Oryctolagus cuniculus: one gene and its partner. The protein of the gene in region 1 purifies or fractionates together with the protein of each later gene. This does not show direct contact. Links are inferred from orthologs where the notes say so. Each region holds a gene or a part of one and is shown in the gene's direction. Other genes may lie near its edges.

The links.
Region 2: the proteins of LRIG1 (region 1) and ERBB4 purify together in Homo sapiens (affinity purification with western blotting; 3 studies listed by BioGRID and IntAct, with this or other methods). This does not show direct contact. The link is inferred for Oryctolagus cuniculus from reciprocal best matches to the Homo sapiens genes LRIG1 and ERBB4.

What each region holds. Positions count from the first base shown.
Region 1 is NC_091441.1:83,064,521-83,068,888, forward strand, and holds the start of LRIG1 (leucine-rich repeats and immunoglobulin-like domains protein 1), read left to right. Parts: upstream 1-1,426; 5' UTR 1,427-2,070; coding exon 2,071-2,291; intron 2,292-3,577; exon of another isoform or gene 3,578-3,651; intron 3,652-4,368. UniProt on the Homo sapiens protein: Acts as a feedback negative regulator of signaling by receptor tyrosine kinases, through a mechanism that involves enhancement of receptor ubiquitination and accelerated intracellular degradation.
Region 2 is NC_091434.1:28,232,753-28,236,563, forward strand, and holds part of ERBB4 (receptor tyrosine-protein kinase erbB-4), read left to right. Parts: intron 1-1,608; coding exon 1,609-1,656; intron 1,657-2,415; coding exon 2,416-2,713; intron 2,714-3,811. UniProt on the Homo sapiens protein: Tyrosine-protein kinase that plays an essential role as cell surface receptor for neuregulins and EGF family members and regulates development of the heart, the central nervous system and the mammary gland, gene transcription, cell proliferation, differentiation, migration and apoptosis.

The sequences.
Region 1 (4,368 bases):
ATCACCGGACTACCAAGCCCAAACCCAGCTTTGGTTAAAGAAAAGAGGTGACCTCGTGGCTGAGGCAAAGTTTAGCACATTTAGTACATCTCAGTGGAGGCAAACTCTATAGATATGTCAACAATGAAAACAATTCTATTACTTTTAAAAATAGCCTTTTATTTTTATAACTTATTGCTTTGCTTTGCTTTTTCTTCCTAGGGAAGATCTTTTCATTTCCATAAAACACAAGTCAGATTTAACCTGGTGGAGCAAAGATTTGTTCAGCACACTTGCATTGCTTAATTTTCCTGACAACATGTGCAGTTATGTTACAAACTTGCACATTCTTGGGAAGGGATATGAGACACCGGCAAACCAAAATGCCCAGGGGGGCAGCTATATATTACAGTGCTAATCTTTTCCTCTCTCTCTCTCTCTCTCTCTCTCTCTCTCTCTCTTTCTCTCTGCATTTGCCTTACTGTTTCTGTGCACCGTCATCACACATGGCTACTGTCTTCTGACCTGTAAGAGCCACAGTTGGAAGTTTTGTAACATTTCTCCTTTTAAATCTCTCAGGAGTACTGTGTGGCTCCATATAAACTGGGTTTGGGCTCTGATTTTAAAAAAGACAAACCGACAACAATGATAAACAAGTCCTTTATCGAAAGCTGGAACATTTCCAGAAGTATCTTTCAACTTAACTAGGCAAGGAGCAGGGGGGCAGTGCACCTGCGACACTTGGTTTCTGCAGTACATTTTGGCACGCAAGGACATACTGCTGGATGTTGCTGGATGTTATACATCAAGAAGCAATCAGGGGCAGGAAGGAACTCCACGCTGTGCAAGGAGCAAGGGGGCCACCCCAAATGAAATAACTAGGATGTTCCAATCTGGAGGAAATGTGTGAAATTTTAAATCTCTCTTTGTTCCTGAAAAGGCACCTGACCAATGGGTGCCGGTTTGCTCTGAATCCCGAGTTCCAGTTTGCAGCTTTGAGGAGGAGGGCAGAAACCTCTGGGGCAGACAGCTCCAAAGCAGGGTGTCACCCTCTTAACCAACTTTCTCTCCGACCGGGAGTGTTATCTTGACGTCGCCTCCTCTTCTCAGCGCGCCTCCCCATTCTCACCTACAACCGCTACGTCGCCTTTAAGAGTCAGGGGACGCCCCTCTCTTTCCCCTCCCAGGCCCCCACCCTTCACACCTTGGGTGGGAAAAGAGAGTGGGGGCGGGGTGGCCGGCAACGCGGGAGGGGCGGGATCTTGGTGAGCGCTCCAATGGCCTCTGAGGATGACCGCCGTGGACTCCGGCAGCCAATGAGCGGGAGGCTAGGGGGCGTGGCGAGGCGCTGTTGCAAAGCATCCAACGTGGGCCGGCAGGCGGCCGCCGGGCGCGCAGCCGAGGGGTGTGTGAGGGCAAGCGGCCGGAGGCGGGGCCTGGGAGATCTAGCCGGGCTGGGCCGCGGGGAGGCTGGAGGCGAGCGGCTGATTGTTCATCCGCGAGGTCTGCGCGACTCTCGCTGCGCCGGGGAGCGGTGCGAAGCCCGAAACAGAGCGCGCGCGCGCGCGCTTCGCTCGCGCTGCTGGGACAGCAAGGCGCACGGGGTCCTCCGAACGCAGGGTTAGCCGCTCGGTCCAGCACGGGTTCTACAGCTGCGTGCCGGGAGCCACGAAGAAGATGCCCGCCGGCGCCGAGCTCCGGCTGCGAGGCTGAGCGCCTTCCTTCCAGCAGCGGGGGCAGCGGCACTTGGCCGTGCGCGGGGGCTCCGGAGCCGGCCCAGAGCGCGCCAGGAGGACGAGTAGCGGCGGCCGAGCACCCCTTGCCCGGACCTGTGGGGTCTGCGGAGAGCGCACGCGGGTCGGCCCGGATGGGCGCGGGGTTCGCGACCCCCGCCGGGCGCTGCGGAACGGCCCGGGCACTGGGGGCCCTCTGAGCGCCGACGCCGCGTCCGCGGAGAGAACTTGTGCGGCCGGCCATGCCCCGACGCGGAGCCTACTACTGAGGGGAGCCCCCACCGGGGCCGTGCGCGCCTGCACCCGCTCGGGACCTCGTAGTCCCCGCGCCCGGAGTTCGCAACGCGCTTCAGACAAGATGGCGCGGCCGGTCCGGGGAGCGCTCGGGGCCCCGCGTCGCTCGCCTTGCCTTCTTCTCCTGTGTCTGCTGCTGCTGCTGCGGCTGGAACCCGCGACCGCAGCGGCCGGCCCGCGCGAGCCCTGCGCGGCTGCCTGCACTTGCGCCGGGGACTCGCTGGACTGCGGCGGGCGCGGGCTGGCGGCGCTTCCCGGGGACCTGCCCGCCTGGACGCGGAGCCTGTGAGTGTGTCACCCTGTCCGCCCTCCCTGCGCCCCGGGACGCTGTCACTTGGGGACACTGGGCGGCAGGGGGTGCAGGTCGGGTTGTGTGTGTGGGAGATTTGGCATGGAGGTGTGGGGGAGCGAAGAGTGCGCCTCGGGGAGTCCGGCGGCGGACGGGCGTGGGTCGTGAAGGTTTGCAGATGAATGAGTGTGCCTCGTGGGCGGTCCCGGGGGTACACAGTTGAGGGTCTAGGTGGTGTGGGGTGCGCGAGCGCGCCAGGTGAGGGTGTGGAGGTGCGCGGGCGCGCGTCCCCGGGGTGGTCCAGGGCCAGCGAGGGAGAAGCTGGGAGGCTCGAGTTCGCGGTTTGGGCCGGGTGTGAGGGAGTGAGCGTGGGGTCTCGGGTCCGTTTCTTGTTTGCCCTCCTGTGTCAGCCATCTCTGGTGTCTTGAGCTCCTTGGTCTTGTGGACCAAGTGGGCAATGAATGAAGGTTGCGGCTCCCGTCTGGGCAGCCCCTTTCTGATCCAGGGCGGTCTTAGTGGCCGGCCTCGGATCCGGCTGGAGCAGGAGGCAGCCTTCCTCAGTGGAGGGCTCTGTGGATTCTCAGAGGTCCCTGAGCGCTGGGAGTGGGTCGTTTTCCGCCTTCTTGGCATTTTTAGGGAACTGTGTTCCAGACCCTTCTTGTCTGTCCTCAGGGCTCCGTTGGGCTTGGTGATCCCGGGGCGGGGGTGCCCCCCAGCCCCCCCGAGAGTCTCTCCTCCATAAATGGTGCAAGTTAGTTTTGGAGCGAGTGCCATGGGTCTGGCGGATTAGAGCAGTTGGCTTGACCTGAGGTAGGGTCTTTCCTGTGCTGTCAGGACTTAGGCCTATCAGGATTTAGTGGGGGGTGGGGTGCTTCTTGCTGGAGATTGGGTCCGAGAAAAAGACCTTAGACTTCTGTGAACGTGGTAGGATGGGAGGGCTGCCCTCTGCTTCTTGAAGATCCAGTTATCAGCAGTTCCAGAAAAGGCCTCGCTGGCATAGTCTTGCTTTTCGGTTGAGTGACTGGACCTCTTTCCTGGACTATAGAAGAGGTACAGCAGTCACCTCAGGCGTGACATTCATTTGTTTTAAAAAGAGAAAACCGGTGACACGTTTTAACCAACACCTGTGGCTTGAGAACACAGGCTGCAGCCGCGAGGGCGAGAAAAGTTCGTTCCTTTTACGTTGCAGCGCCTGTGTCTCTCACTAGTCTCTAACTTGGTCCACGTGACGGCCTGCCTCAGGAGCGAGAGCTGCAGAGTTCTGTTGCTGCCCAGGGCGGGTTACTGACAGTTAGGTTTGTCTTTGGTATCTGCTACTTTGGCGCCGGAAACTCAGTGAAAGTTTGGTGGCCACAGGTGGGTTTTCGCCCAGGCAGTGGCTGTAGGAGGGCTACGAGATGAAACTTAGCGGTTATTGGATTGCAGGCAGCCTGGGGTGTTGAAGTTTTTCCTTTACGTAATTAAGCTTAATTTTGCTTTTCCCCACTACATAGAATCACGTGGACAGAATCAGAATAAACTCTTAAGCGTTCACCTGTTCAGCCGGTGCCCTATGTCTGTGGCGTTGTAGGGAAGGCGCTTAGTTCCAAAGTGGTAACTTCCTGGAGAGGACGGGGTGTCTTTTTATTTGCACTTTTCTGTGGTCATAAGTCCTACTTTGTGTTGCCAGTCTTTGGCGCAGAACACACTGGTTGTATTTTAGGGTTCCTGGAAGTACCTTTTCACATGGCTTCAAATCATTTAAAATTGCCGTGTTTTCTGTTTTACACGTTTGATCATTGGTAAATATCTAGCCAGGAATTTTGAGCTTCAGGAGACTTGATGATATTCATTAGGTGTTAACTTTAGATTTTAAGGTGTGAGCAGTGTGATTTCTGGACAGTACGTGACAACACTTCACATATGAAATGGTTGTCCTTTGAAATATATTTGTGAGGGCGTTTTATTTTTGAACAAGGAAAATCTAGCAATTTTTTCCCCCTGGTCTTCAGGTTTACTGAATTTAAACCATCAGTGTTATCCTGAAATGTCCCTAAGGGTGTATCTGACTTACATTTCTGGCTATGATAGAGC
Region 2 (3,811 bases), on another chromosome or scaffold:
ATTTTCAATTTGTAGATGTGAATATTTAAATTTTATATATCCTCTACATTTATATAATAGTTTAGAGTTTACAGAGTTCATTTATATGCATCATCTTACTTCATCTTCACTAAAAATAGAGAAGCCAAAGATGGAAATGAAGGATCTGAGATGTTTCATGTTTGACCAAATTCTCATACCATTCGCAACTGGCACTGTAGCCCAAGGCTTCTAACAATGTATAAAATAATCTGCATATTGTACAATACTAGTTATTAAATGTTTTTTATAGATTTCCATGTCATAATCCTCAGTATAGTTGCTGGTAATAGTATGTTACTAGAGAAGGAACTAGGTCAATATTCACTATGACATCTTAGTTGTGGGGAGAATTAAAATGTAAATTCATTACACAGATTCAGAACTTGTTCCTTGATTAGTCCAATAGACGAAGTTAATTAAGGAAATTGTATTATCTAATTGTATTGATTGCCATTAAATGATCTCCATGGGGCCATATGAGCTTTAGACTGTTTTATGAATCACTAACCTATGTCAACCCTCACCTGGAATATCAAGCTATGTGTTATGTGAAAGATGTAGGTGCCTTGGAGGTTTATTTTAGTCATCTCTTCACTTGAAGTTGAAATGTAGAGAATGCAAACTTCATACAATTAACCATTTTGGTACATATTATTCATTGTTCCCAGAGCCTACCAAAGTGGAAAATTTCCTGACACATAGATAGTATGTTCTCAAGAAATGTGTTTAATGAATGAGTGAAATACATATGTACATATATAAAATATATACGACTTTTTGAAGAAATAGGTTGGGATTCATATAATACCTTTTGCTTGCCCTAAGAAATATTGTCCTCCATATTTACTTTATCCCCTCTTTAATTTAGCCCATAAGATGGAGTATTAGGCTATAAAATTATAGATGTATTTTTTCCAACCACTGAAACATATGTTTGACTGATTGTAATGTAGAGTGTGTTTCTTGGAAAAGAATTGATTTTCCAAATTTTCTGCTATTTCTTAACTTTAAAAGAAGAATGAAAATAAAATAGTGCATACCGAAGACAAAAGAATATGCCTTTTTATAAGGACAGCTGAGAAGTTGACCCTTTTCTGAAACAGTGGAAAAATCACCGTAACTTCATAGCAAAAATTGTTATAGACAAATTGAACTCTACATCTATATCCTAGACATATCTCTTATAAAAGTGAATATGGTGTTAAGTGGCAAATTGTTACTCAACACATAAAGAAGGAAACTGTCCCTCATTTACAACTGTATTTACTGATTTTTCCTTCATTCTAGGGTTAATAAGAATATTTCTGTCTACTTAATTTTAATCCATTGAAAAAATTTCATTTTTCTATATAATTTTCCTTTTCAGGGCTTGAATTGAAATGTTAATTTCCTCAAAACATATGAATAAACTTGCCTGCAGTGAGAATGCATACATTTTTACTGTTTAGGGAAATTCACTGTTGTGCACATTTTCCCCTTTGATTCATACAATGCATGTGCCTTTTATTTTTCTTGTCTTGTCTTTTTTATTTTTTCATTCATATTGCATCTTATTATATCCATCATTCCATTTTTCTTTCCTATTAGAGTGAAATTGGACACAGCCCTCCTCCTGCCTACACCCCTATGTCAGGAGTAAGTATTTCACAATCAGCCTTCATCTTTTAGGATTTTTTGGTCTTGGCTTACCATGATTCCTCTCTCCTGTCTCCCCATGATTTCTTCATCTTGCCTTTGCCAACAGTGAGTTAAGAATTTGCTACAGATTCAGTAGTTGAGGTGTGTTTTATCTTTGTAGATAATCCAAAATTGAGATATCATGTATCAACACTAGCTTTTGATTGATATCTGAGGGATTTACCTGGCTCATAAATTATGCTTCCAAGTGAGGAGATTATCTTTACTTCCTTGAGGATAGGTCATGTGCTAAAAAGCCAGATTCTCAGTGACAAGTCTCTGCAGAGTAATAGTAACCAAAAAGCAGTAAGAAAATGTGGAAATTCTAAATATTATTGGTCTACTTCTATTCTTAACGGGAATTGTATACAACTAATGACCACACTGTATGCCATGAAAATTCACTGAATTCTACACCAAAAATAGGCAATTGTGAGAGAAGGACCTCAAATATTTTTATTGCATCAGATATTAGTAAAACTAAAACATCTATTTCCAAATTATTTTTCTATGATTTACCTTTTAAGAAAAAAATGAAATTCTAGATGTTTTCAGTCTGTAATTCAAATCATTAGCCTCTAGGTAAAGAAACCACATCAATTCACACTATGACTTCTCTGAAAGGCATGATGTGATATCCTTTTTGTTCTTAGCATTCACTCTGTACTAATTTTCCTAACAACAACTTCCCTCCAAATCTCTTTCTGCTATCACCAGAACCAGTTTGTGTACCGAGATGGGGGTTTCACTGCAGAACAAGGAGTTTCTGTGCCCTATAGAGCCACGACCAGCACAATCCCAGAAGCTCCAGTTGCTCAGGGTGCCACAGCTGAAATTTTTGATGATTCCTGTTGTAACGGCACCCTACGCAAGCCGGTGGCACCCCATATCCAAGAGGACAGCAGCACCCAGAGGTACAGTGCTGACCCCACTGTGTTTGCCCCAGAACGGAGCCCACGAGGAGAACTGGATGAAGAAGGTTACATGACTCCTATGAGAGACAAACCCAAACAAGGTACAAACTGAATGTTGAGAAATGATTGTTATTCAATATCCCCTCCCATCAAAATGGAACGGAAATTGGCAAGTAGTTCAACTGTGTGACATGTGTGACCCAAAAGAGATCAAGGCTCCTGCTTCTTACAATATGGTCTTGAATCTGCAGCTTCCACATTATTTGGGTGATTTTAAGAAATCAGAATTTCAGGGCCCACTTAGCAATTCTGGATTTTTAACAACATATTCGTGTGATGTGGATAAATAATGAAGCTTGAGAAGAACTAACTAAACATATCTGTATTAGGGTTTTTCAGCCAGGTAGCATGTCACAAAATTTTTAGAACCACTGGTTTAATAGATTACTGTGGAGATTGTAAAGGTTAGAATTGATGAACAAAAGTATCTGATTTTTTTAAATATTTTATTTATTTATTTGAGAGGTAGAGTTACAGACAGTGAGAGAGAGAAACAGAGAGAAAGGTCTTCCTCCCGTTGGTTCACTCCCCAGATGGCCGCAACGGCCAGAGCTGCACCAATCCGAAGCCAGGAGCCAGGTGCTTCTTCCCTGTCTCCTATGTGGGTGCAGAGGCCCAAGGACTTGGGCTATCTTCTACTGTTTTCCCAGGCCACAGCAGAGAGCTGGATCGGAAGAGGGGCAGCCGAGACTAGAACCGGTGCCCATATGGGATGCTGGCACCGCAGGCAGAGGATTAACCTACTGCACCACAGAGCCAGCCCCAGTTTTTTTGTTTTTTTTTTTTTTTTGTTTTTTTAAGATTTATTTATTTATTTGAAAGGCTGAGTTACAGAGAGAAAGAGGGGAAGAAGAGACAGAGAGAGCAAGTTTCCATCCATTGGTTCACTCCCCAAATTGCTGCAACAGCCAGAGCTGAACTGATCCGAACCCAGGAGCCAGGAGCCAGGACTTTCTTCTGGGTCTCCCATGTGGATGCAGGGGCCCAAGCACTTGGACCATCTTCCACTGCTTTCCCAGGCACATTAGCAGGGAGCTGGATCTGAAGTGGTGCAACTGGAAACCATATGGGCTGCTGGCACAGCAGGCTGTGGCTTTACCCACTATGCCACAGCACTGGCCCTTGTCTGAAGCTTTTGA